7 linked regions of the Mus musculus genome follow. The protein of the gene in region 6 interacts with the protein of the main gene of each other region in a biochemical or structural test. Links are inferred from orthologs where the notes say so. Each region holds a gene or a part of one and is shown on either strand. Other genes may lie near its edges.

Evidence for each region.
Region 1: the proteins of Ube2i (region 6) and Top1 form a complex in vitro, tested with the Homo sapiens proteins (2 studies listed by BioGRID, with this or other methods). The link is inferred for Mus musculus from reciprocal best matches to the Homo sapiens genes UBE2I and TOP1.
Region 2: the proteins of Ube2i (region 6) and Rbbp8 form a complex in vitro, tested with the Homo sapiens proteins (2 studies listed by BioGRID, with this or other methods). The link is inferred for Mus musculus from reciprocal best matches to the Homo sapiens genes UBE2I and RBBP8.
Region 3: of the proteins of Ube2i (region 6) and Hdac4, one has a biochemical effect on the other in vitro, tested with the Homo sapiens proteins (3 studies listed by BioGRID). The link is inferred for Mus musculus from reciprocal best matches to the Homo sapiens genes UBE2I and HDAC4.
Region 4: the proteins of Ube2i (region 6) and Usp36 form a complex in vitro, tested with the Homo sapiens proteins (2 studies listed by BioGRID). The link is inferred for Mus musculus from reciprocal best matches to the Homo sapiens genes UBE2I and USP36.
Region 5: the proteins of Ube2i (region 6) and Pias2 form a complex in vitro, tested with the Homo sapiens proteins (3 studies listed by BioGRID). The link is inferred for Mus musculus from reciprocal best matches to the Homo sapiens genes UBE2I and PIAS2.
Region 7: of the proteins of Ube2i (region 6) and Fos, one has a biochemical effect on the other in vitro, tested with the Homo sapiens proteins (3 studies listed by BioGRID). The link is inferred for Mus musculus from reciprocal best matches to the Homo sapiens genes UBE2I and FOS.

Annotation. Positions count from the first base shown.
Region 1 is NC_000068.7:160,697,897-160,701,396, reverse strand, and holds part of Top1 (DNA topoisomerase 1), read right to left. Parts: intron 3,274-3,500; coding exon 3,158-3,273; intron 1-3,157. UniProt on the Homo sapiens protein: Releases the supercoiling and torsional tension of DNA introduced during the DNA replication and transcription by transiently cleaving and rejoining one strand of the DNA duplex.
Region 2 is NC_000084.6:11,719,849-11,723,348, reverse strand, and holds part of Rbbp8 (DNA endonuclease RBBP8), read right to left. Parts: intron 2,840-3,500; exon of another isoform or gene 2,805-2,839; coding exon 2,692-2,804; intron 1,710-2,691; coding exon 824-1,709; intron 746-823; coding exon 619-745; intron 1-618. UniProt on the Homo sapiens protein: Endonuclease that cooperates with the MRE11-RAD50-NBN (MRN) complex in DNA-end resection, the first step of double-strand break (DSB) repair through the homologous recombination (HR) pathway.
Region 3 is NC_000067.6:92,177,542-92,181,512, forward strand, and holds the start of Hdac4 (histone deacetylase 4), read right to left. Parts: upstream 2,801-3,971; 5' UTR 2,717-2,800; exon of another isoform or gene 2,461-2,716; intron 1-2,460. UniProt on the Homo sapiens protein: Responsible for the deacetylation of lysine residues on the N-terminal part of the core histones (H2A, H2B, H3 and H4).
Region 4 is NC_000077.6:118,259,245-118,262,744, forward strand, and holds the end of Usp36 (ubiquitin carboxyl-terminal hydrolase 36), read right to left. Parts: intron 3,261-3,500; coding exon 3,145-3,260; intron 2,887-3,144; coding exon 2,755-2,886; 3' UTR 2,735-2,754; intron 2,304-2,734; 3' UTR 409-2,303; downstream 1-408. UniProt on the Homo sapiens protein: Deubiquitinase essential for the regulation of nucleolar structure and function. Required for cell and organism viability.
Region 5 is NC_000084.6:77,134,708-77,138,207, reverse strand, and holds part of Pias2 (E3 SUMO-protein ligase PIAS2), read right to left. Parts: intron 2,429-3,500; coding exon 2,257-2,428; intron 1-2,256. UniProt on the Homo sapiens protein: Functions as an E3-type small ubiquitin-like modifier (SUMO) ligase, stabilizing the interaction between UBE2I and the substrate, and as a SUMO-tethering factor.
Region 6 is NC_000083.6:25,263,432-25,266,931, forward strand, and holds part of Ube2i (SUMO-conjugating enzyme UBC9), read right to left. Parts: intron 1,798-3,500; coding exon 1,688-1,797; intron 1,415-1,687; coding exon 1,335-1,414; intron 1-1,334. UniProt on the Homo sapiens protein: Accepts the ubiquitin-like proteins SUMO1, SUMO2, SUMO3, SUMO4 and SUMO1P1/SUMO5 from the UBLE1A-UBLE1B E1 complex and catalyzes their covalent attachment to other proteins with the help of an E3 ligase such as RANBP2, CBX4 and ZNF451.
Region 7 is NC_000078.6:85,472,760-85,476,689, forward strand, and holds the start of Fos (proto-oncogene c-Fos), read left to right. Parts: upstream 1-1,130; 5' UTR 1,131-1,280; coding exon 1,281-1,421; intron 1,422-2,175; coding exon 2,176-2,427; intron 2,428-2,832; coding exon 2,833-2,940; intron 2,941-3,057; coding exon 3,058-3,699; 3' UTR 3,700-3,930. UniProt on the Homo sapiens protein: Nuclear phosphoprotein which forms a tight but non-covalently linked complex with the JUN/AP-1 transcription factor. In the heterodimer, FOS and JUN/AP-1 basic regions each seems to interact with symmetrical DNA half sites.

The sequences.
Region 1 (3,500 bases), on a different chromosome or scaffold from region 6:
TCTTTTCTCAAAAAAAAAAAAATCAACTTTATAATATTATATAGAAACAATTTATGCCACAATAGCATTTTGCTGCATTCTAAATGAGATTAATATCTCACACTTACAACTATGTAAGTACTAATAATAATTCAAAAGAATTAAAATTTATTACAGAAATCTAAAACTTAACCAGAAGCCTACTCATTGTAATAATTGAGAGACATCTCATCTCATAATGGGTAGTATTGCTCAACCAGACTGTATGAAACATAGGGAATACATCACAAAACAAACTTGTGCTACAGGTACATTATCAGCTTAGAAGACATAACCTAAAAGGCAAATAGGTGGTGTAGCTCTTCCTCAGCACACTCAAGATTCTGTGTTGGAAAAGGATTTTTTGAGTAAGGTGTTTCCTGTTTTCCCCACTCAGTCTGAACAAGAGTTGCCAGCAAAACAGCAACATGATTCAAATATAATGGAGGGGAATACAAACAAACAAACAAACAAATGGGGGCAAAAAGACAAGGTAGCAGTAGCCTATAATTGTAGCATTCGGAAGGCTGGGAAAGGAGGATTGTGCATTTGAAACTGGTCTCAGCTACAAAATCAGCATCTCAAAACAAAAAATAAAAATAGATAAGGAAATTTTAAGGAATGTGTTCCCTGGTATGTTTGTTTTCATAAACTAAATATTCCCCAATAGTGTTCTTATTTTGGGTGGGGAGCCTTTGCACTGCACTGGCTTTGTCCCACCCACAAAGAACCTACTTGATTTGTTTTAAATGGGCTGTGGAAGGATTAAGTAACAGCTATAGCACCGGAGTGGTGGAGGGTGTGTAGGTTCCCAGCAATCATCGTAGTACTTTGTGGGAAAAGTTGAGCTCCCGGAAACAAAAAGAAACTGTTGAGTCAGAGTTGAAATGGCAGGTCCTTAACAGCGGCTGCAATTCTGTGCTTCAGCCAACTCATGTCCTGTGCAGAGGCGGCCAGGGGGAAGTCCAGGGCAAGGCAGCAATGTCCTGCCTACCAGTACTTACTTATCAGTTTGCACTAGTAAGTCAAACACTCTTGACTTATTTGGAGGAGTTTTATAACCAAAGGGAGGAAATCCTAGGAGGACCAACAGAGAAAAGGAAACTAGAGGTAGGGACCACAGGCCTTAGTTTCCTTGAAACCCCACAATAAAAAAAAAAAAAAAAAAAAACTACTTTCTATCGTCATCACCTTGGCTTTCACAGTGAGGCTTTTCCAGCGAGCTGTCTAAAGTTAGTGAGCTCAGGTCAGGCTACAGAATACAGCAATTGTCTTTTTCAAGGTCTTAAGGCCTTTTCTCTTCACTAGGAAGTTTAAATTTGTGTATTTTCGTAAATCTTCAGGAATGATCTAGTGTGTAGGGTGTCTTACAGTTTCTGGTCAAACTGGTTAGCTAATCTAAAAACTTGCCAGTCACACCACCAAGTGTTTTATGCCACTGACTTCCTACATAGATTAAATCAGTAGTCTCTATCTATCTGGGACTTGGGTGTCTGAACACAAGCATATTCAATAAACATTTCCGAACCTTTCGAAAATATTAGTTGAACATCCATTTCCCAAAACATGTGATTTTTTTCCATTTTCATTTTTTTCACCCCTAGATTTTGGAGAATGACGGTATGTGGGGGTGTGTTTGTAAAAATAAGGTATCAGGTTGGGTATTATTAGTAATCAGTGATGGGAATCTTTAATTCCAGCACTCAGGCAGAGACAAGCAGGCCTCTGAGATCAAAGCCAGCTAAGACTACAAAAATGAGACCTTATCTCAAAAAAAAAAAAAAAAAAGAGGGAGGGAGAGAGAGAAATAAAATATCTTAAGGATGAGACCCAGGTCAAAATTCACTTGTTTCATATACAGATTTCAATTATTGGATGCTAATAAACCCGTCTCATCCTAAACCCACAGGCATCTATGCTCCTAAAGCCATTGCTGGCGGTTAAAGAGATACACCAAGGGGCTGGTGAGATGGCTCAGTGGGTAAGAGCACCCGACTGCTCTTCTGAAGGTCCAGAGTTCAAATCCCAGCAACCACATGGTGGCTCACAACCATCTGTAACAAAATCTGACGCCCTCTTCTTCTGGAGTGTCTGAAGACAGCTACAGTATACTTACATATAATAAATAAATAAATCTAAAAAAAAAAAAAAAAAAAAAAAAAAGAGATACACCAAATAGCTCTGAATGGTTTTGCTATTTTGGTGTCCAGTGTCTCTCCCTGTTAGTAAATACATTTATTTGATTCATAAACACCCAGTCCTACCTCTCATCTATTAACCTGGTGAATTATAAATACATAGAGAGTTTGAGAACGAACTCTAGCATCTCTGGACAGAACTCTTAGAATGAAGGAGTCAGTTGGACATTACTACCTGATACACAGTCAGTCGAAGGATTGTGAGAGGCTACTCTCAGATCCCTCAACCCAAGGACAAAAACACAGATGTGGAACTCTCAGACATTTTAGAAAGTTCCAAGAGACCCAAGGAGGCCAGATAAGGTGGCATGTGCCTCAGGAGCAGATGGGTACATCTACTGAATTCAAGGACAGCTGATCTATATTATCAAGTTACAGGCCAGGCAGGGCTACACAGTTAGAAATGTCTCAAAAAAATAAAATTAAGAGACCTAGGCAGAGCGTTTCTTTAAAATTCACCTGTCAAAGGCACAGTTGCACTACTTAGAGTGACATAGCTTAGGTTTCTTACCTATAAGCTGAATGATGGCCACTAATCCTTTGCTAATACAATTTCTAGTGATAAGCAGCATGTTGGCATACTATATTATCACTAAGTGCTACTATTTAAATGAGAACTCAATACAGAACAGCTTCCTATTGAGTTACACACTCAAAATAAAAACCTTCAATGTGTATTTTATAGGCTGTGAGCCAAACAGATAAACCTTTTTAGACTACAGATAAGACATTAACAGCCCCCTTTTTCATATTTTTCAAGCAGCAAAGGGGTCCTTCTGAATTAAACACCTGAGATTCCTTTTCCCAAGCCACACATAGACAATAAAACAAAGTGAAATAACTAGCTAGGACTGTGCAATATAGGCAGTGCCCTCATTTTCTAACCCTGAATAGAAACAAACCATTCTTAGCCAAAATTCAAACAACCTGAAATAACTCACCATCATAGTAAAACTTGACACTCTCTGGCAGAGGCTCATATGGTGGAGCGAAGACAGGCCCTTTATGCTCTAGGAATTTCCATTTGATGCCTTCTGGATAACGTTCTTCTTCCCACCTTTCAAAGACAAGGCACAAGCTCATTAAGTGATCACCTGGCTTAGTAAAAAGATCCTCACCTATTAAATTCAAAATAATTAACTAATCAATTTGTGGTGCCCATTCAAAGGCTGTGTCTCACTGAAAAGAGCAGCAATTTCAAGCAAACTGAAAGAATATGGTAATTAAAAAAATTTCATTTCAACAGTTTCAATTTAGAGATACTAAGTATTAAAAGACCATCCA
Region 2 (3,500 bases), on a different chromosome or scaffold from region 6:
GGCACATGTATATACACACGCACAGGGGTGGGGTGTGTGCATGCACATGTAATTATAAGACTTAAGTTAAAAACCTATTAACTTGTATAAGCTTACAGACAAACATTTCAATGCAAAGAAAAAGGATAGGCTATCTAAGCAGTAAAGAAAAAGTTCTAAATGATGAATTATTTTTAAACATGATGTACACTTTAGGATTACAGATGGAGCTTAGTGGCAAGGGCCCTAGCAAGGATAAGGCCCTGGGTTCAATCCCTAGTATTGCCTCCCTTTAAAAACAAATTAAACTCCCTCTAAAAACTAAAGAACAACAAGCAAGCAAACAAACAAAAACCCCAACTGAATTGTTAAAATACTTTTTAAAAGCTTTTGCAAAGGAAGTAAGAAATAACTATATAAGTAAATCTATACCATCTAAAAATATGCATCAAAGAATTTAAAATGATTTTTGACAAAGCATAAGAGCAGAAACATTTAAAGTGAGATGAAACCAGTGAGAATTATGCTGCGAACAGATATATACAGAAAGAAATAAGCTTCCCCCAGACCCAAATTTTTTTTGTCTAAAGACTGTAAACCAATTAAAAAGAGGAGAGATCCTGTTTTTAATGCACACACCTTGGTTGCTTGGCAGAGCCTTTGTTTTAGCAACTCTACAGGGGTTTAACTGAAGAACTGATGCAAGCTCACATCCTCCATGGACTGCTCTGCTCTTTACTTTTGTTGGCACAAGAGAACCAGTACCCTAAGCAGAAATAATTATTAGCACCTAAATGAAATCACAAACAATTTTAATCAAAATCTCTGAACATTTAACACAAACCTTCACATCACCAAAGAGATTCTCTGTCTCCAAACTTTCCTGTGAACATGGAGGTGTTTTGAAGACAGGATTTTCTTCTTTTATCTGTAATGGTGTTTTTTGGTCTGGAGAGAATTTACTAGAGGACTGGAGGCTCCTCGGCTGTAAGCAGTATGTCTCCCAAGAGTCTTTGGCTGGCATGCAGTCCCCACTCAAGGCTTTACGGCCTGAGGAGGAGCCCTTTGGAATGGGCTTCAAAGCCTCGTAAATAGTGGCTTGCTTAAGTTTGTTTTTAGAAGTCTCGTTTCCGTGGTTCTTCTCTTGCCGCTGAGTAGCTGCAAACCGATCTGACAGGTCCAGAGGTTTATCCATCACATGGTCTCCATTCATGGAGAACTGATTCTCCATTGGGAAAGGAAGGGCATTTTCCTTATCAAAACAGGCCTGGGGGCACTTTACTGCATGCTCACTTTCCTCCTCAGTCCTCTTCCTTTTGGATGCTTTGCCTCCCAGGGATTTCAAAGGCACCAAATATTTATCAGCAACAGTAGTATTCATGTGGTCAGCACTGCACTGTTCATCTACAGAGTCACTTACAGTTTTATTTGTAAGTATCTGTTTACTAGAAAATGACTGGCTAATGACCTTCACTTCTGACCCAAGACTATGTTGTGTGAAAAGGGCATTATCCTCAGATTTGGATCTAACTTTCTCTGATCTAGAAACAGCAATGTTGCTAAAGGGAGCTGTCTTCAGAAGGTTTTTTTTCCCAATGTCTAAGAGAGAGGGGGAGAAACTTGTATTCAAACCCAAATGAGCTTTCACAGTAGAGGTAGCTCCAAATACCGGAGATGACGCCCGAGTAGTAAATTCTTGAGGAGGTGTCTTTGAAGCAGAGTCTGAAAATCTAAATAAATAAAGAATATGTAAGATTTTGTTTTTAACTGAAAATAGGGTAAAAATTTAAAAAAACAGAAAACATTTCTTGCTACAGAATAGTAAGGCATTATCCACCTATTAGAGGCAGAGGGTTAACACAAATGTAAGATGCAGTGGTTTCTTCTTATTTAGCAGAACAGAAAATGAAAGTAGAAATGAAGCCCACTGAGGACTTTTGCTATCATTAAATTTTATAAGTAATCCCAAGGAAAAAATTCCTAAACTACAGAACTGAATGCAAGCTCTCTCAATAGAACTTGAACAAGATATTCAACCTTTGGAGTCACATTTTTGTTATCTATTTAAAGAAAAGAGGAACAGGTGAATAAAACTCAACTTGACAAGTTATTAACAGATGTACCTAAAACCAAGCAAGATATGAGAAGGAAGCATGAGAGAAGGGGCATGAATGAGACGACAAAAGAAATCCTCTAAGCTTCAATCAATTCATACACTAACAATGGTTTATCAACATAGGTCCTGCTAGTAAATAGTATGAAATTTGAGAAAAACAAAACAAAAACAAAATAGGGCTAGACAGGTGGCTCAGCGGTTGAAAGCACTGGCAACCCTTGCAGAGGATTCAGATTGAGGTCCAGTACCTACGTGGTGGCTCTCAGTCATTTATAACTCCAGTTCAAGGGCTTCTGACCCGTTACCTCCTGGGAATCCATGGTGCACATCCACATCACAGGCTCACACACAACTATAATATAAAGTGGATCTTCCACACCAGTTAGTGTTTGGAGACACAATGTAATGACTGTATTTAATGGGCTAAAGCAAAACTGGGAGCTCTTAATGCTGCTTGATGATACAGGAAAAGAATATAGACATAGTATCTGCAGCCCTTTGGGGGAGTACAGTATTGCTGATATTCAGCCTTGTAGGGTTTATTGAGCTACACTAACAAAACAAAACAGAACAAAAAAATATATGCTCAAAATTACCTTAAGCTATCTTCCTTACTTCTTGCAGATTCCATAAAAGGGTGTTTTTTGTGATCTTCTTTGAGACAGTGGTAGAGTTCACTTCCCAGAGGGCTCATGGGACCTTGGGGTTCCTTCAATAGTAAAGTATGCTTAAAGTTGATAAATGCTACAATGCAAATAAATCCCAAAAACATATGAAGTAAACGGAGCCAGAATGAAGAGCTATATAATCAGACAGAATGAAGCTGTATAATATTGTGAATGTATAAATAGCACTGTATTGCAGACTTTGAAGTGACTAGTTTTGTTATTTAAATTTTATCACAATAAAAATACGAAGAGAAGGAAGTACTAGTATTTTATACTTTATACAACTTACTACTGCATAGAAATAGTTCAATACCAAAATACATTAAAATGAAGGGTAGAAAACACAGTGAATGTAAAAGCAAACTTTAGAGGAAATTCTCAAGACTGCATACAAGTCAACTGGGAATCATTAAAACACAAGTTTGAATAGATCTGAAATTCTGTGCCTGTAATACATTCAAGAATGATAAAGACGCTGTTTGCCGTGAATGGACTGTAAGAAAAGTTCTTTGATAGCTCCTCCCTTATTTTCATATCTGAACTTGTTAGATCTATGGCTAGTAAGGAACTAGAGACTATTAAATACACAAAATGTAATGAAAAATGAACTCAAGGTTTAGAAACTCAACAGTCAGACAGTTTTCTAAGAAAAAAAAAAGCAAAGAAGGACTATTTTAAATCTGTCACTTGTTTGTTTTAGTTTTGTTAGTGGTCAAACTCAGGGCCTTGCATACATC
Region 3 (3,971 bases), on a different chromosome or scaffold from region 6:
CTCCGTCACCTGCACCTCAAAGGTCAGTGTCACACTTAAGGCCCAGAGTTGGCTGAGCAGCAGGACACTGGATGGTCACTGGAGACCAAGACAAAGCCACTCCAAAAATCTCTTTGGGGCCCCTACCCCAAGACTGGGTTACAACCAATGGGACATGAGCTCAACTCTGGATTCACCCTCTGAAGCCTGCATAGTCACCCCAGGGCCCAGAGACATCAAAAGCCCTGGTCCTGGGACTGAGCCCCCCCACGCCACCCCAATCTTCCCGTGCAGCAGGTGTCTCTCATTTCTGCATCTCCCTGGCTCCCTACATCAGGTATTAATGTATTACTTATGGCAGCTTCAGAGTTCTGAAAAACCAGCCGTTTTCAATAGAAAATGGCATGGACAAGGCTTGACAGGAGTGATGAAATTTTCTTCTGCTCTGGCAATTAGGACGGCACAAAGTCGCCTTTCCTTTGGTGCCACCCCCAACATCAAAGGATTGGAATTCAAAGCCGTTCATGCTGCATTGAAACCTCACAATGAGGCTGGAAAATGGAAGTCGATTACTGGGCAAAAATATGCAGTAGTTAAAAGGAAAGAGTTCTAACGAAATTAAGCTGCAGCAGCCCCACGACGTGTGGAAACTTCCAGCACCAGAGCTCTTCTGGTAAACATCAAGAGGGACATCCTCCTAACACAGGTTTGAAAGCAAAGTCAAGCTAGGAGCCAGGAGCCCCAGGAAGATAGAGTGCTATGTTCTCTTGCCCACCTCACCAGCAGCAGCCCCTAGCTTCTGAGAAGGTGCCATCTGGGGGCTTTATATGTTGCACAGCTCTCTGATGTTGCTAACCACAGACATTCTTGCTAGGGCTGCTTAGGTCACATCTGTCCTTGGTCTCTAGGCTATCCAGGCCCCGTCTGCAGTTCACAGTCATTCTTCTCCCCCACAGGGCTCCCAGATACCCTGTAAGCAGCCTGCAGACCCCTAAAGGGGGCAGTGTTACCTCTGCCTTCTAGCAAACCCAGCCTCTTCTGGGTGATTACTGCTCTTCAGGAAGGCATTTGATCTTTAAAAGAAAAGCCAGAACACAGAAAACCATAGAAGTCTTACAGTGTGTCGGGTGTGTGTTTTTAAAGCATGAAAATACTTCCCTCCCACACAAACGGGGAGTTCTTCTGGGGAAAGATGCCACAGATCCCGAGGAGTGGCAGATCTGGGAAAGCGGATGGGTCTTAAAAATAGACAATTGAACCTAGACTAGAGCTGCAAAGCTACCTGGGGGAAAAAAATGAGAATTTTTAACTAAATCTCACATATTTTTTGATATCCAAAACTCCATCCTGATGAAACTTCTAACTGGGTGGCATTTTGCATTTCCAATTATAATGGAGTAATTGTGTTGCCATAGTGACTGCAAAATTCTGCAATAACTTTTGCTGCCTTGTAACTGCTATAGTGTATATTTGTGTACAAGCAGCTGAGTTTTCTTAATTCAACCTCCTTGCCTCTCCACAAGCACTACACCTACCTACACCACCACCACCACCATCACCTTCTTTCTGGGTGGATTTTGAAACCACTACACTAGCTTTCATCAAGCCGGTCCTGAAATAATGCACGGAATTATCAGAAGCAATTAAAACTCCTGGCAACCTCGATCATATCACGGAGGAAAAACCGAAACCAGGTCAAGGTGCAAGCCGCCAGCATCCCCCTAGCCCCAAAGTGCGACAGGGCCATGGCTGTTTACACGTTAATACTCGCAGGCCTTAAATGCTTAGGTGGTTTGTGGGAACAGACAGAAAAGCCTGAGCAGAGAAAAGCAGGGAGGCAAAGTGACTACACAGGCCTTTCCTTCCTCCCCGGGCAGGCAGAGTGGCTCTCGGAAAGCAATTAGGTAGGTCTCTACAGTAATGCAATTAGGATTTAGTTAAGAAAGTCATTAGTTCTAAAATAACTTAAGTTTAATTTCTGCGACGCTTTATTTGAAAATCGTGTCACAGCAGGTCAATTTACAGCATGCAATAACCAAAACACTGCTATCAGCGGCTGCAAGTTATTAACAAATTCTCGGTGTGCATTAAAGGAGAACACGGGTTCCACACCCGGCCTTTCCGACCGACTCCCGCTGTGTGAGCTACAAGCTGTGCCTTCGGAACCCTCGCTCAGGGTGGACACCGGTCGTCTCCGGGGCTAGCGCAGCTCCTCGCCAGCCCAGCGACGGTCCGGGCCCGGCCGCGGCCCCCGCCCCGCCGCCCGCCGCCGCCGAGGGGCGTTTTCTGCAAACTCACAGGCTGACAAAGTTACATAAACGCCCCGGCCCCCGCCCCCGCGCGCCCACCTGCCCGCCCGCCGGCGCAGGCCGCTCTCCCGCCCGCCAGCCCGCGGCGCAGGGCCCCGAGGCCTCGGCGGGGCCGGGCGTCCACCTGCCGCCAGCAACCGGGCGGCGCGGACAATGACGGCCGGTGGCTTACCGCGGCGGCGGCGGGCCGCGTCTAGCCCTGCTCCGGCGCTCCGAGCCGCATCTCCTCAGCCTGCGCCGCCGCCGGCGGGCGGGCGGGCTCGGGCGGCGACGGCGACAGCAGCCGCGTTGAGCGGGCCGGGCGTGAGGCGGCGCGGCGGCGGCGGCGCGAGCAGGCGCGCGGGCTCGGGCTCGGGCGGCGGCGGGGATGGTGCTCCGCGGCAGCGGCCCCACAACCTCCCCTCCTCATTCACAAAAAATTGACCCACGTTGAACCATGATGCTGCTCCCCCTCGAGCGCAGAGCCGCGCGGGGATAGGCCGCGCCCTACGCCCGTCAGGCGCCCCAGCCCCGCCCCTCCCGTCGGCGGCCCACCAGCCATTGGCTACAACGGCTTTGCGTCACCTCCCCCCGTGGGCGCCGCCCCCTGCCTGGTTTCTAATGAAGAAAGCGTCAATTACGGCTCGGCCCCGCCTCCAAGAATTCAGCCGCCCTTCCATTGGTCCGAGAGTCCTAAGTCCGCCCCACAATAGCCCAACAGCCAGCCCCGCTTCGCGGGCGCTGCGAAGGGGCTCCGCCTTCGTCCGCCCTTCTCAAAAGTTCCAAACCCCATTGGCTCCCAGCATTGTCAATTCTAATGAGCGGGGCGTACCGAAGACTCTCCAGGCGCCCGCTCTGAGAGCTTTTGCTGTTTTAGAAAGAGCAGGGAGCTGGTGCGCGAACTGATTGAAGCCGTGGACAGACCTCCTTGGCAGCCCGCGGCGCTGCCCGGGTCAATACAGTGTGCCTGAGCGCCTGTCTCATGCTCTAAGGGGGCGCGGAAGAGCACAGACTAAGGCGAGGGCCCGGCCGGGCCTGGCGGCAACCTCCATCTTAGGCAAGGCACAGATCACGTGGGCTGCGTGCGGGGGACGCCGAGCCCAGAGGGAGTGCGCAGGCGCGGCGGGCCCCGCCCTGCCCCGGGGCAGGCGCGCCGCTTGGGGGTGCGGCTGTGACTGTGGGGCCTTGCGTGGCCGTGGGAACTGGGGGTTCTGGGACCGCTGCTGTTGCGGAGGTGTATTCTTGGTTCGCCGCCACGGCGTCCCGGTTTGTTGGGACCACCCCTTCTCTGAGGTTCTTCTAGACCTGGGCCAAGCGCCTATAATTGGCGTTCACGAATGTGGATGGGCGTGAAAGGCCATCCTTCTGGCTCCCTTGGGTCCATTTCCTTTCATCAGGAGAGTAGTGCAATTTCTCATCCTGTGTCCATGATATTTCCAGAATCCCACATCCAAAACGAAGACAAGAGCATCTGGTCCACCCTACATGGCCTGACCTAGGATGCTGACCTATTTACTAGGCCTTGCCTGATAGGAGTTGAGTAGAGATTTAATAGCATTTTTGTTCCATGACTGGGGGAAAATTGAAGGTAAAACAATTCGCAAGAAGCAATAGATTCTTTTCATTATCTCAAGGTAATACTGAGTTAGAAAGCTTCATTCACTGGGAGAAATTCATACTCTAGGATAGCTCAGCTGTGAAGCC
Region 4 (3,500 bases), on a different chromosome or scaffold from region 6:
CGCCGGTGCCATAGGGTCGCACTCAGATCCAAATCCTCATCCCGCCCTACTGCCACATAATCTCACAAGAGAGCAGTGTTGGAATGACGTCACTTCCAATGCACAACAGAGCCCTGGTGGACGCTGCTTTGTTTGTGCTCTCCACTATTCACTTACAACCACTCCCAAGGTTTACCGAACCAGTGAGTGTCTTCACTCTTAAATCTACACAAATACAGCTTTGGGATAAACTTAAATAGATCTCTTTGTCCAAGATGGCCCTTCCTGCCTGGGCTCGAGCGGTGGCGCTCCCGTCTCAGCTGTGGACGGTCACCCAAGAGCAGCATGGAAGCATCCGCCTGACCTGGGGCTGCGGCCTGGCCACGCGCCTTCTTAAAAACGAAGAGACAAGGCAGACACAGAAAGGTATCACAAAAAAAAAATGCATTACTTTATTGCACCAAGATCTTGGCAATATCTGGGGACCCCTGAAGAGGAAGTGGAAGAGTACGGGGATTCCTGCACACATACAGACGCAGCCACACAGGATGTTGGATGGAAACAGCCCCTAACAGGCAGGTGAGCAAGAACAGAAACACCAGGGAGGTGGCCCTCTGCAAATGGGCCTAAAACATGTCTACTGCCAAGCACAAAGTTCAAACTGATTTGATTTGACCCAACAAAATGACTACTTTTAGGAAAGCTTCAATTATTTATGTCAGTACGCCACCAAGAACTCATTCCACCCATGACCTGTTCCTAATGGCTTCTAAGGAAGAAAAGGACTTGCCATCACTGACAGCAACACACGCTGCCAGAAGTCAGGACAGTAGATGGGGGATCATGACTGCCTAAGAGGCAGTGGACTACGTGCCCCTGGAGGAGACTTTACACTGCGTAATCTAGAGCACAAAGGAAGGAACCAATCTGAGGAGACACGGAAGACAGATCAGTTCTGTGCTGGCAGCTTTACACCTTTCTACTAGAGAAGGCTGTAAAGAAAACCAATGTACCCAGGAAGCAGCTGCTACAGGAAGGATGGCAGTACCTCAGAAGGACGGTCCCTGCCCCCCTCTGAGAGAACACGGAGCCCACAGCACTCCCAGACACAATATCCAGACAGCAGCCACACAAGGACCATCGCATACAGCTGGAAGACTCACTCACCAGCAGACCCATCGAGGGGCACTGTTCTCGCCTTTTCTCTAAAGGGAAAGAAACAGACAGGAAGGAAACACCCACACAGAAACAGGACCTCAACTCCGGCCCACGGAGAACACAACCCTTTCTTCCCACATCTGCAGCAAGTAAGACCCTGAGCCTGCAGCTGAACAGAACGCTACACATGGAAATGAGAGGCAGCTCCAGCGCTCCCAAGAGGCCCAGACTAGGAGCCCAGCCCAGAGCAGGCTGGGGCTTGGGGAACGAAGAGATGCACCCCATGAGGAGGAACCTTCTGGCACCTTCTGTCTCCTGGGTGAGGAGTCTTGTTTGTTAACCCTAAGTCCATAGGGGCAGCTTGAGCAAGACAGGGAAGGAGATCATGTCAATGTCAAAGCACTCACAAAATTGAGCAAACAAAGCCAGTGTCTGCATATTAGAGAAACATATTGCTACTGGTAGCCACAGGCCTGGTCAAAAATAAAGGCTTTATCGTAAGTAGTAAAATAACGGAGAATTCGTCTCTAAAGACCACCACCTTGACAGAGATCCACAGGTTGTGGCAGATGCGGGAGCTTGCCAGTCTCCCCGCAGGGCTGGCAGCCACGGAAGCAGAGGCTCTCCCTGCCCAGCAGCTGCAGCTTTCTGGAAGAAGTGGTGGTCTTTCAAGGAGATGCACTTTGGGGGTGGGGATGGGGGCAGTGCAGTCAGCAGGGCTTGTTCTTGTTGCAGCTGATAGTCAGTCATACAGAGGCCCCTCTGAGAGGAGAGCCACGAGACAGCTCCAGCTTCAGAGAGCAAAGGACAGCTCACCAGAAAAGGCACCACCAAATGCCACCCTGGCCTCTGTTCCTTATCTGACAGCCCCAGGCCAGGAACGGTGTTCCTACTGGACCACAGGTCTATGAGGAAGATGCTCAACCTTTCCAGAGGTCTCCAAGGTTACTGTCAGCATGACACCACAGGCCAGGTTTTCTCTTGTGAGGTTCAACGTGAAACCACCAGAGGCCCTGAGCTGAGCACTTGCACCGGATCATCTGTGAACAGTGGGACCAGGAGCCTCCACCATGACCATGCACGATGCGATCCTCAGATCCAAGCAGACAGCTCCAAGGATGTGATGTGACAGCTCTGGATGCTGTGGCACAGGCACACTGCTCTTCCTGGTGAGAACAGAGATGTGACAATCTTATTACATCCCCGGGTCCTTCAACAGACACAGTCACACCTACAAATAACTAGAACACACTACAGACACAGGACACACACAAAAACTCGTGCACCACACACACCACACACAGACAGGCCACATATACCAAATGGTCACACACTATCCATATCACAAGCCACACATGCTGCATACATACCAGACACACTACCATAAATAGTTATACAACACATACACACAAGACAAACTCCACAGACCACACATATACCAGATACATACACTAGAGACTTACACATGCTACATGCACGCCAGATATACACATATGAGCTAACACAGAGACAGACATACAATACAGAGGTACACAACAACACACACATACCACAGACCACCTCTACACAAGCAGATAAGACACACAACCAAGCTGACCTCTAATGGCCACAGCAAGCTCAGCGGCGATAGCTGAGGCTGGCCACCTTAGCAGGATGCGTCACAGACCAAAAGTTGCGCCTACTCTGAAGCTTCTGGAAGGCATTGAAGTTTCTCTTCTTTTCTCTCTTGAACTTTTTAATTTTCTTTTCCTAAATCAAGAATCACAGTGTCACAGTTCCCAGAGAGGACATTTCCAAGCCTTGGAGCCTCCTGGACATAGATACAGTAAGCACGCCATGTATGGCGCCCTCTGATGGAGGTCCCATCCCTATTTGCCTGCCCAGTGTACTGGGGGCACAACTGGGGTCTCAACTGCTTTGTGCAGAGCTGCACGCAAGCTGCTCTCCAAGCTCAGGCTGAGCCATGGCTGACCGCTGCCCCAGCCCAGTCACAGCCTCGCACCGTACCTTCCCTCGATCAAACTCTTCATCCCAGTCGTCAACCACGGTCTGGGTCCGGGCTAGTCTGCTGTCTTTGATGGCGTCCTGACTGATGGCTGAAGGCTCGCCATCCCAGGTCAAAACTGTACAAGATATATTCTGTCAGCGTCCATGGGTCCTGGTCACCTATAGACTGTCCTCAGGACTCACTTTCTAGAATAGGGCCATCTATTCTAACCACTCTAGGTTTCTGACTGTCTCTTAACAGAAGCAAATGAAGGGAGGTCACACGACCCACGCTGTGACCGCTGTGTCCACCAACTGCAAATCCCTCTCTGTAAGCTGTGTGCTCCCACTTTAGGAAAAGGCCCTTTTGTTCACAT
Region 5 (3,500 bases), on a different chromosome or scaffold from region 6:
ATTTTGTACTATGTATTTATGTGAATGGGTACTTTAAAACTGATATGTTCTATATCCAACAATATCAAACATTTATCCAAATTTAATGTATGTATTTGCTCTCTTGTGTGTCAATGGAAGCCAGAAGTGGTCACCCTGGCATGTTTCTCAATCACTTTTCTATCTTATTTTTTAAGACAGACTCTATCACTGAACCTGGAGCTCACTGATCCCACGAGACTAGATGGCCTCCTAGCCTCTGGGATCTGCCTGTCTCTGTCTCCAGAATCACCACTGGGGTCACAGATGCAGAGACTTTATATGGGTGGTGGGGACCTAAATTCAGATGCTGCACACTCTTGTAGGGAAATCACTTTACTCACTGAGCAATCTTCTTAGCCACCCACTTAATTCTTTTTATGTAAAAATAGGCACAATTATTTCATTAGAATGCAATATTTCCACTTTTAATAAATAGTAAAGTATGTATAATAAAACACTGTTTCTGAAAGTTTATGATTTATTATCATCTGTAAATGTTCAATTTGTATATTTAGTTCATATTCCTGGGATCACAAAAAACTGATCATGAATAGAAAAAGTCTGAAATCCTGTTATAAAACTGAAACATTTAATTATATTTAACATGATAAAGTAAAAATCTAGAATATTTAAGCATCCACTATCTTGATTCTATACTTCACTAAATAGTTCAAAATTGTATCTTCACTTGTTTATCATTTCATTTTCAGAAGTATTAAACAAGTGGGGGTGGGTGGATATGGGGGACTTTTGGTATAGCATTGGAAATGTAAATGAGCTAAATACCTAATAAAAAATGGAAAAAAAAAAGAAGTATTAAACAAGTTGTCTCAAAACAGCAATAATTAGCATGTAGGAAAAAAAACCCTAAAATACTTTTCTTACTTTCTGACACTAAAAATAAAAATTTATTCTAATTAAATAGGTAACAGAAAAATATAAGCCCATACTCATACTGCGATATATAAATCACACTTGGAATATAGGTACTTTATTTTAGCTTTTGTTGTTGCTGTTGTCGTCCTTGTTTTTGGCAGAAGCCTAAGGCTGGTCTTAGATGCATGGTGATATCCTGTGTCAGCCTCTGAAGTACTGATATCACAGGTATTAGCTACCATATCTGGGTTAGAAGAGTAAGTGCCTTCATCGTTCAGAAAGCAGTTCAAAAGTGTTAAGTCTAAACGATAGCTATTAAAACTTATTTCAAAGTACCTATAAAGAATTATAAAAAAGAATCTGAAGTATACTCAGAATATAATTCATTATATACAATGTCCACAACAGGTAAATTCAGAAATGTAATGCAAAAGCTATGTTGACTACACCTAGGAGATGCAGGACAATAAAAGCAAATGATTATGTGCGTTTTTTCTCGTTGAATATATGCTAGAACTGACTTGCAGTGGTGAACAAACATCTTCGTGATATATACTTAAAATGGGTAATTTATGTTAGTACAAAAAGAATGCTTAAGAAATACTAACTACACTGAAGACAGAGAAGAGACTAGCACATACAGGTTTAAGGATGTAATCATGGGCTGTCACAACAATTCGTGGGTGTCAAGATCTCTCTTATGAGAAGGATCTGTCCAATCTGTTTTGTCATAAAGGTCCTAAGCTTCCCTGTATTAGTCATAGAAAGTACACGGTAAGTAAGATGCACCCATCTCCTTGCCCATATTTTGCTTGTAAAGGGGAAAGGAGAGAAGATGGATTTTCACTAAGAAACTGTCAGGTTCCTGACATGGTGGCCAAGCTCTGCTATAATCTCATGAACACCTAGCAGTGATCCTATGAAGCAGGCATTATCTTACCTCATTTTAACACAACACCAAGGGGGTCAAAAAAAAAAAAAAAATCAAGGATTATAACCAAAATCACCTAACAAGAATACAGAAGTGCCAGGAATGGATTTGCCCTCAGAAGCCTCCTGTAGCTGCATTCCCTTCTACCAACTTCCTCAAAATGGCCTGAGATGCCAAGTCCCTTGTGAACAGGCTCAAGAATGGAACACAAGGCAAAAATACTTAAACTCCCACTTCCCAGACATGTCGAATTTTTTCAGCAAAATTTAATCTCCTGTAAATAATGTGCTTTCTTGAAGTATTTCAACTGTACCAAAGCAGATGAAAATTGCTTTCTATAGTTACTTCTCACACAGATATTTCAAAACCATCCCAAGAACAATTCATTTCAAGTACAATGAACAGTAGTGAACTATAAATCGACAAACCCTTTGGTTGGACTGCTTTGTGTTTCTGACATAAAGATGCATTTCCTTTTGGCGGGAGGGTCTTCCTCTTCATCAGAAGAGCTCTCTATTGTTAGATCAATAACATCTATCTTCTTCTTGCTTGCATCACTGGCTACAGTCACTGAACAAGGTTTACTAAAGACACTTGAACCTGGATGGAAATAAACAGGGGGACAAAAAAAGAAATATCAAAGAATTAACAAAAACTAGCTATAGAAGTCTTAAATATGTGCATATATACATGAAAATACACAGCTAAGGAAACCATATTCTCTAGCAGGGACTAACTCAACATAAGTGAGGACTGCCAGGGCTATTCCTGACAGAGGTCAGAAGCCCCCTTCACAGCATGCTCTCTCCAGCACTATCAGTGGGTTACTACAGAACCTGGGGCTACTCATGTTGTCTTTCTAGGTTAGCAATCCGTGTACAGACAGAACATGAGGGTTAGACAACTGGCCTTATCCCGTGGGACAAGAGTATAGAATGTGACCAGCTCTGCACTGTCATCATACACGTGTGGCAGTATTGAGTATGCAGTGTCAGTAGCTGCATGTTTCTATATGCGGCACCGCTGAGTTAGAGACAGACATTTCAACTCCAGTGGTCGTATAAAAGTCACAAGCTGGTAAACAAAGCTACTATGGCATGAATCATCTAGTCACTACTCATTCAGTCTATACAAGCAATCACATTTATCATATTATATAACATTATTCTCTATAACCTACCACAAAAAAATGAATGCTATTTCATTAGGGAAAAACCATCAGACATAAATCAATAAAACCATACCTGCCCACACTTTACACTAATGTGGACAACCCATGCAATGTGACTCCTAAGAGTTCGAGCAATCACAAGAGAACAAGTAACAGAGTACTTGCTCAATTCAACAGAGCCAGAAGAAAATCAAAGGAAATGAGTCCAGAGGTTGCATGTGCACATGGACTTCAACTTACCAAACTCCTTTAGCAGGGCCCTTCAGTGCAGATAGCTAAAGGAGCTAAAAGTAAGTACACACGCTGGGTAACTAAAGCTATAGAATCCCTACACCAACAAATGGAAGAATCTGCTCAGTAACAGCTAATTCATGACCAGTCTCCACACTGATTAATAAATGATATATATGGCCGCTCCAACCACAATAGGTTCTATAAAGATATACAAAACAGTTCCTAATCCTTCTGTCTCTCAAGTGTGCTTCTGTGCAATGGCATGCA
Region 6 (3,500 bases):
AACCAAGAGTACTGCCATTCACTAAACAAGGCTATGACAGCAAGGCCACTCAGGAAGGAGGGGCAAGAGCTTCTACATACACAGTGAAAGCAGGCACAAAACATGTTATTGACAGAAACCCAGATGATGCAGGAGAGAAACCCCAGCACCAAGGACTGCACTAAGTGCTGGAAAAACAGAGCCATGTTAGCTAGCCGGGAACCACACCTTAAGGCCAACCGTGAACAGAGCTTGGTCTAAGGCAGAGTGCTGCTGAGCACCAGCGCAATGAGGGGCTCCAAGGGCTTGGCAGAAGCACACCGCTTCATGAGCTGCATACTCCTTGTGCCTGTGCCTGGTGCAGGCAGCACAACACAACACTGATGGAGCTGACCTGTCACAGCATCTTACACAGGGTCAGGCCTGAAAGACCCTGGAGCACAGGCAGTCAGTACACAACATTGCACCAATGGGTGTAAGCTACATTCCCAGGGATGCTAGACAGGCTTGCCCTGGCCACCAGAGAAGGCAGCACACAAGTATCAAGGTTGGATATGCACCCAATTTTCTTCTGATTCCTTCCCTGACAATACAGTGCACACCCACTCCTTCCTGTCCCACATAGTTCTAGTGGGTTGACAGACCTCCCTAGAGCCATGGGCTAAGACAGGGGTGCCTGGGACTCTGCTCAGAGGACCTCTGCTCTATTTCCATTGGGGTGAGTAGGCGGTTGGTACTTGAGACACAGGGAGAACAGTGGGGTCAAGGTCCCTGCAGTAACACTAATCTTAGGAATGAATTCCAGCCACAGTAACTTTAGTCCTTGCCTAGATTAGCAGGATCCTCACAGTCAGCAAGGATGAAGCGTGAGTGTGTGCACTCACATACTCGTTGGACCTCTATTTTAAGTGTTTTCCGTGCTGCCTACAGAACTGGCTCAACTGTTATTCAAGTCCTAACTGATCATGGGAGGTTATTCTCCTTCAGTAGATAGAAAAAGAGCCAAGAGCACTCTATCAGCGAGGCTGTGTTATGCAATGGGCCACAACCTTTTATACACCTACCACAGATCACTCCAAATGGCCCATCAGTGCCCACACCACCTGTTCTATGCCCACAGTCACATCTGGGCCCTGTCCTTGCTCAGAGTAAGCTCCGTGTACACATGGCTCTGTTCCTGACCAGTCAGACATGCAGTGTCCTTGGTGGCTCTTGTGGTGCTGCCACCCAGTGGGAGTATGCGCCTCTTCCCCGGGACTCCCTCTCAGCTCTCATATCCCAGAGCTCCAACCTGACAGGCAGCCAGTCTGCACTTCCAGGAAAGGAAGGTTAGCCAGCTGGCAGTTGCTACTAACCAGTAAATTGTGTAGGCCTCTGCTTGAGCTGGGTCTTGAATATTTGGTTCATTTAGAAGTTCTTGTATTCCTAATAAGATCTGTAAGAGAAACAAAAACAATCAGCTCGCCGGGCATGGTGGTGCACGCCTTTAATCCCAGCACTTGGGAGGCAGAGGCGGGCGGATTTCTGAGTTCGAGGCCAGCCTGATCTACAGAGTGAGTTCCAGGACAGCCAGGGCTACACAGAGAAACCCTGTCTCCAAAAACCAAAGCAAACCAATCAGCTTACATTGAGAGGGCTTGTGAAAAACACTGTTGGCTACTGTGACCAGGACAAACCCCTAAGAGGGCAGTCAGGTGCTACTCCATACCTGTTTGATGGTGATAGCTGGCCTCCAGTCCTTGTCTTCCTCCAGGATGGACAGGCACACTGTGCCAGAAGGATACACGTTTGGATGAAACAGTGGGGGCTCAAATTTACCTGGAGGACAGGGAGGGGAAGGAATACTTTTGGAGGCAGATGCTGTCCCCATCCTGTGCTGGCCCTGACCGGTCTTCCTGACACTAGAGCTCTTTTAAAAGATACAAACTCAGAAACTCAATAGCAGAGGGTCCAGAAAGAGGAGAGTACGCCTTTCCTTCCTGAGGAGCTGAGCCTAGACAAAGCAGCCAGAAGACACCATGGTCAGGAGCCAGAGGGACTAAGCCTATGCTCTTCTCATGTTCATAGGAAGAGGAAAGAGGCTAGAATGCATGCCCCAAAGACCTTTTCAGTGTACACAGGCTTCAAGTACACCACATTTCTCTACAATAGTAGAAAAATCTACTCCAAACTCAGGTACTATTCTATAGCTGATACTTGAGAAGGTGCCTCACTTTGATCTAGGCAACCTTCTTTCGCTTTATTTTCAAACCTGTACACCCCCAAAAGTACAAGTCTAAAGGCAGCTTGTTTTTTAGTAAATGAAGGGGTCTGGGGGGGCGGGGGGCAGCTCTGCGGCAGCACACTTCCCTGGTATACATCAGGTTTTGGCTGAGTTCCCAGTACTACAAACAAATGAGCTGAGCAGCAGCATCAACTACACACCTATACCAACTACTCTGTAGGCTAAGCAAGAAGATTATGAATGGAAGGCCAGCCTAGGCATCTTAGTGATATCTTGTTTAACAAACAACAAAACAGGGGTGAGGTGGGGTTGGATAAAGGGCTTAGAGGTTAGGAACACTAACTGTTCTTCCAGAGGATCGGGGCTCGTATGGAGACTTACAACTACTGCTGCTCTGGGGAGGGAATGAATGTTTGTTCCTTCTTTTCTTTCTTTTGTTTTTTAAAAGTGGGTTTCTCTATACAGCCCTGGCTGACCTGCCTTGAACTCTGGTGGGATGAAAGATGCCACCCCCACCCCCAATTTTGTTAAACCCTTACTGTCCTCGAGCTTTAAATAAAAGAAAGGTGGGAGTGTAGTGATGGAACGCTTGTCTAGCTAGCATCTGTGAGGCCCTGGGTTCAATCCCAAGCATCACAAAATGCTAATAAGTTAATAAGAATGAGACAAAGCATCAACACCAGCATTAAGGCTGAATCCTAGAAACCTCCCTAACTGCTCTGTGCAGACAGAATGGCTCTGAGTTACTGCATGCCTCTCCAAGCAGAGCTGTGAGGAAGGACCTGAGAGTGACTTATGCCATGGGCACAATGATAAGCAAATGGAGAGGGTTTGGGTGTCAAGACCCCAAACTAATTTCATCAGTTCCTCCAGCCCATCTGTCTCACAATTGGGCCAGGCCTCCACAGAGGCACTTCTGGCAGCCACCTTAATTTTTTTTTTTTAAAACCCACTGAAGAGTGATTGCACACACCTCTGATCCCAGCACCTGGTAAGCAGAGGCAGGCAGATCTCTGAGTTTGAGGCCAGTCTGGTATGTGGAGGAACTTCCAGGACAGCCAAGGCTACACAGGAAAACCTGTTTCACCCCAACCCCAATTTTTTCCCTGTTTTTAATATGTGTAGATATATATGTTTAATATGTGTAGATATATATGTTTGTGGATCATGTATGTGTAGCGCTCATGGAAGCCAGAAAAGGGTGTCAAATCCCCTAGGACGGGAGTTGTAGTGGAACTGTCATGGGATGTTAGAATCCAACCTTGGTCCACTAGAGGAGCAGCTAGTATTCTAACCC
Region 7 (3,930 bases), on a different chromosome or scaffold from region 6:
CCAAGTCCGATCTGGAAAATCACCCGCTGCAGGCGGGTTCCTTGTAAGCGCAGTTTCCAGGCTGCACGTATTCAGACCCCCATCTCCCCAGCACCGACTTGCTTTCTCCTCCCCCCCCCCCCCCGAGCTCACCTCACTTTGTAATTCTGAGCTCCCCCCCTGCCCCGACTCGCCCTCTGGTCTCAGCTCAAAACTAAACATACGACCCCTTCAGGCATACTTGTAGGGTGGTTTTGCACAATGTTTATCCGTCAGTGTCAACGGGGACTGTCGCCTTGATAGCTCTAAGTGGCTAAGGGTCGGGGAGTAGGTGCTGCCGTCCTTTAAAACACGAATTTATGAATGAACCCAGTACTGTAGTTAAATCAGGTTATTGTACACTTATTTACAATCCTTCACTTGCTGCTTCCAACCTCAGTCCTAAAGTTTCTCCAGGCAAGGAGCTGGAGAGAGGGGCTGAGAAGCTGACCCCCCCTTTTTCTTCTCTGCACTGATTTGGGATGGGGGGCTGATGTGGGCAAGCTTTCCTTTAGGAACAGAGGCTTCGAGCCTTTAAGGCTGCGTACTTGCTTCTCCTAATACCAGAGACTCAAAAAAAAAAAAAAAGTTCCAGATTGCTGGACAATGACCCGGGTCTCATCCCTTGACCCTGGGAACCGGGTCCACATTGAATCAGGTGCGAATGTTCGCTCGCCTTCTCTGCCTTTCCCGCCTCCCCTCCCCCGGCCGCGGCCCCGGTTCCCCCCCTGCGCTGCACCCTCAGAGTTGGCTGCAGCCGGCGAGCTGTTCCCGTCAATCCCTCCCTCCTTTACACAGGATGTCCATATTAGGACATCTGCGTCAGCAGGTTTCCACGGCCGGTCCCTGTTGTTCTGGGGGGGGGACCATCTCCGAAATCCTACACGCGGAAGGTCTAGGAGACCCCCTAAGATCCCAAATGTGAACACTCATAGGTGAAAGATGTATGCCAAGACGGGGGTTGAAAGCCTGGGGCGTAGAGTTGACGACAGAGCGCCCGCAGAGGGCCTTGGGGCGCGCTTCCCCCCCCTTCCAGTTCCGCCCAGTGACGTAGGAAGTCCATCCATTCACAGCGCTTCTATAAAGGCGCCAGCTGAGGCGCCTACTACTCCAACCGCGACTGCAGCGAGCAACTGAGAAGACTGGATAGAGCCGGCGGTTCCGCGAACGAGCAGTGACCGCGCTCCCACCCAGCTCTGCTCTGCAGCTCCCACCAGTGTCTACCCCTGGACCCCTTGCCGGGCTTTCCCCAAACTTCGACCATGATGTTCTCGGGTTTCAACGCCGACTACGAGGCGTCATCCTCCCGCTGCAGTAGCGCCTCCCCGGCCGGGGACAGCCTTTCCTACTACCATTCCCCAGCCGACTCCTTCTCCAGCATGGGCTCTCCTGTCAACACACAGGTGAGTTTGGCTTTGTGTAGCCGCCAGGTCCGCGCTGAGGGTCGCCGTGGAGGAGACACTGGGGTGTGACTCGCAGGGGCGGGGGGGTCTTCCTTTTTCGCTCTGGAGGGAGACTGGCGCGGTCAGAGCAGCCTTAGCCTGGGAACCCAGGACTTGTCTGAGCGCGTGCACACTTGTCATAGTAAGACTTAGTGACCCCTTCCCGCGCGGCAGGTTTATTCTGAGTGGCCTGCCTGCATTCTTCTCTCGGCCGACTTGTTTCTGAGATCAGCCGGGGCCAACAAGTCTCGAGCAAAGAGTCGCTAACTAGAGTTTGGGAGGCGGCAAACCGCGGCAATCCCCCCTCCCGGGGCAGCCTGGAGCAGGGAGGAGGGAGGAGGGAGGAGGGTGCTGCGGGCGGGTGTGTAAGGCAGTTTCATTGATAAAAAGCGAGTTCATTCTGGAGACTCCGGAGCAGCGCCTGCGTCAGCGCAGACGTCAGGGATATTTATAACAAACCCCCTTTCGAGCGAGTGATGCCGAAGGGATAACGGGAACGCAGCAGTAGGATGGAGGAGAAAGGCTGCGCTGCGGAATTCAAGGGAGGATATTGGGAGAGCTTTTATCTCCGATGAGGTGCATACAGGAAGACATAAGCAGTCTCTGACCGGAATGCTTCTCTCTCCCTGCTTCATGCGACACTAGGGCCACTTGCTCCACCTGTGTCTGGAACCTCCTCGCTCACCTCCGCTTTCCTCTTTTTGTTTTGTTTCAGGACTTTTGCGCAGATCTGTCCGTCTCTAGTGCCAACTTTATCCCCACGGTGACAGCCATCTCCACCAGCCCAGACCTGCAGTGGCTGGTGCAGCCCACTCTGGTCTCCTCCGTGGCCCCATCGCAGACCAGAGCGCCCCATCCTTACGGACTCCCCACCCAGTCTGCTGGGGCTTACGCCAGAGCGGGAATGGTGAAGACCGTGTCAGGAGGCAGAGCGCAGAGCATCGGCAGAAGGGGCAAAGTAGAGCAGGTGAGCAGCGATTCTGGACCTTTGTGGGCTGGGGGGGGGGGGGGGGGCGGAGACTGACGCACAGACCACACAACAGAGAAGGGACGCTACTGACTGCACTTCCTGACCAGGAGCTGTGGCTGCTAGCCCTTTCCCTCCCTTGTCAGATTTTGACAGTTGGACCCAAGACAAACTCTAGACAGTTTCCCTGACAGCTTCCTACTTCATTCTCTAGCCGGGGAGCTTCTTTGTTCCCCTGCTAAAGATCTCACTTTAAATGCAAATCACACTCTGCCTGCCAACTGCAGGTTAGAAAAACTGCTTCACCGAGAGGTGCGGGTGCTGTAGGAGCCAGTTTCACTGGGGTGACTGAATGGAGGTGACACTAGACAACCTTAACTGAATGTTGGTCCTTTTCTTCTATAGCTATCTCCTGAAGAGGAAGAGAAACGGAGAATCCGAAGGGAACGGAATAAGATGGCTGCAGCCAAGTGCCGGAATCGGAGGAGGGAGCTGACAGATACACTCCAAGCGGTAGGTTGAACCAGCTGCTGCTCCTGAAACTTTATTAAAGTTGGAGCTTGGGACTATGGGCGCAGGGTCCTTGAGCATGCCCGTGTCTTATGCTTTCTTATATCTCTCCCTATGCAGGAGACAGATCAACTTGAAGATGAGAAGTCTGCGTTGCAGACTGAGATTGCCAATCTGCTGAAAGAGAAGGAAAAACTGGAGTTTATTTTGGCAGCCCACCGACCTGCCTGCAAGATCCCCGATGACCTTGGCTTCCCAGAGGAGATGTCTGTGGCCTCCCTGGATTTGACTGGAGGTCTGCCTGAGGCTTCCACCCCAGAGTCTGAGGAGGCCTTCACCCTGCCCCTTCTCAACGACCCTGAGCCCAAGCCATCCTTGGAGCCAGTCAAGAGCATCAGCAACGTGGAGCTGAAGGCAGAACCCTTTGATGACTTCTTGTTTCCGGCATCATCTAGGCCCAGTGGCTCAGAGACCTCCCGCTCTGTGCCAGATGTGGACCTGTCCGGTTCCTTCTATGCAGCAGACTGGGAGCCTCTGCACAGCAATTCCTTGGGGATGGGGCCCATGGTCACAGAGCTGGAGCCCCTGTGTACTCCCGTGGTCACCTGTACTCCGGGCTGCACTACTTACACGTCTTCCTTTGTCTTCACCTACCCTGAAGCTGACTCCTTCCCAAGCTGTGCCGCTGCCCACCGAAAGGGCAGCAGCAGCAACGAGCCCTCCTCCGACTCCCTGAGCTCACCCACGCTGCTGGCCCTGTGAGCAGTCAGAGAAGGCAAGGCAGCCGGCATCCAGACGTGCCACTGCCCGAGCTGGTGCATTACAGAGAGGAGAAACACGTCTTCCCTCGAAGGTTCCCGTCGACCTAGGGAGGACCTTACCTGTTCGTGAAACACACCAGGCTGTGGGCCTCAAGGACTTGCAAGCATCCACATCTGGCCTCCAGTCCTCACCTCTTCCAGAGATGTAGCAAAAACAAAACAAAACAAAACA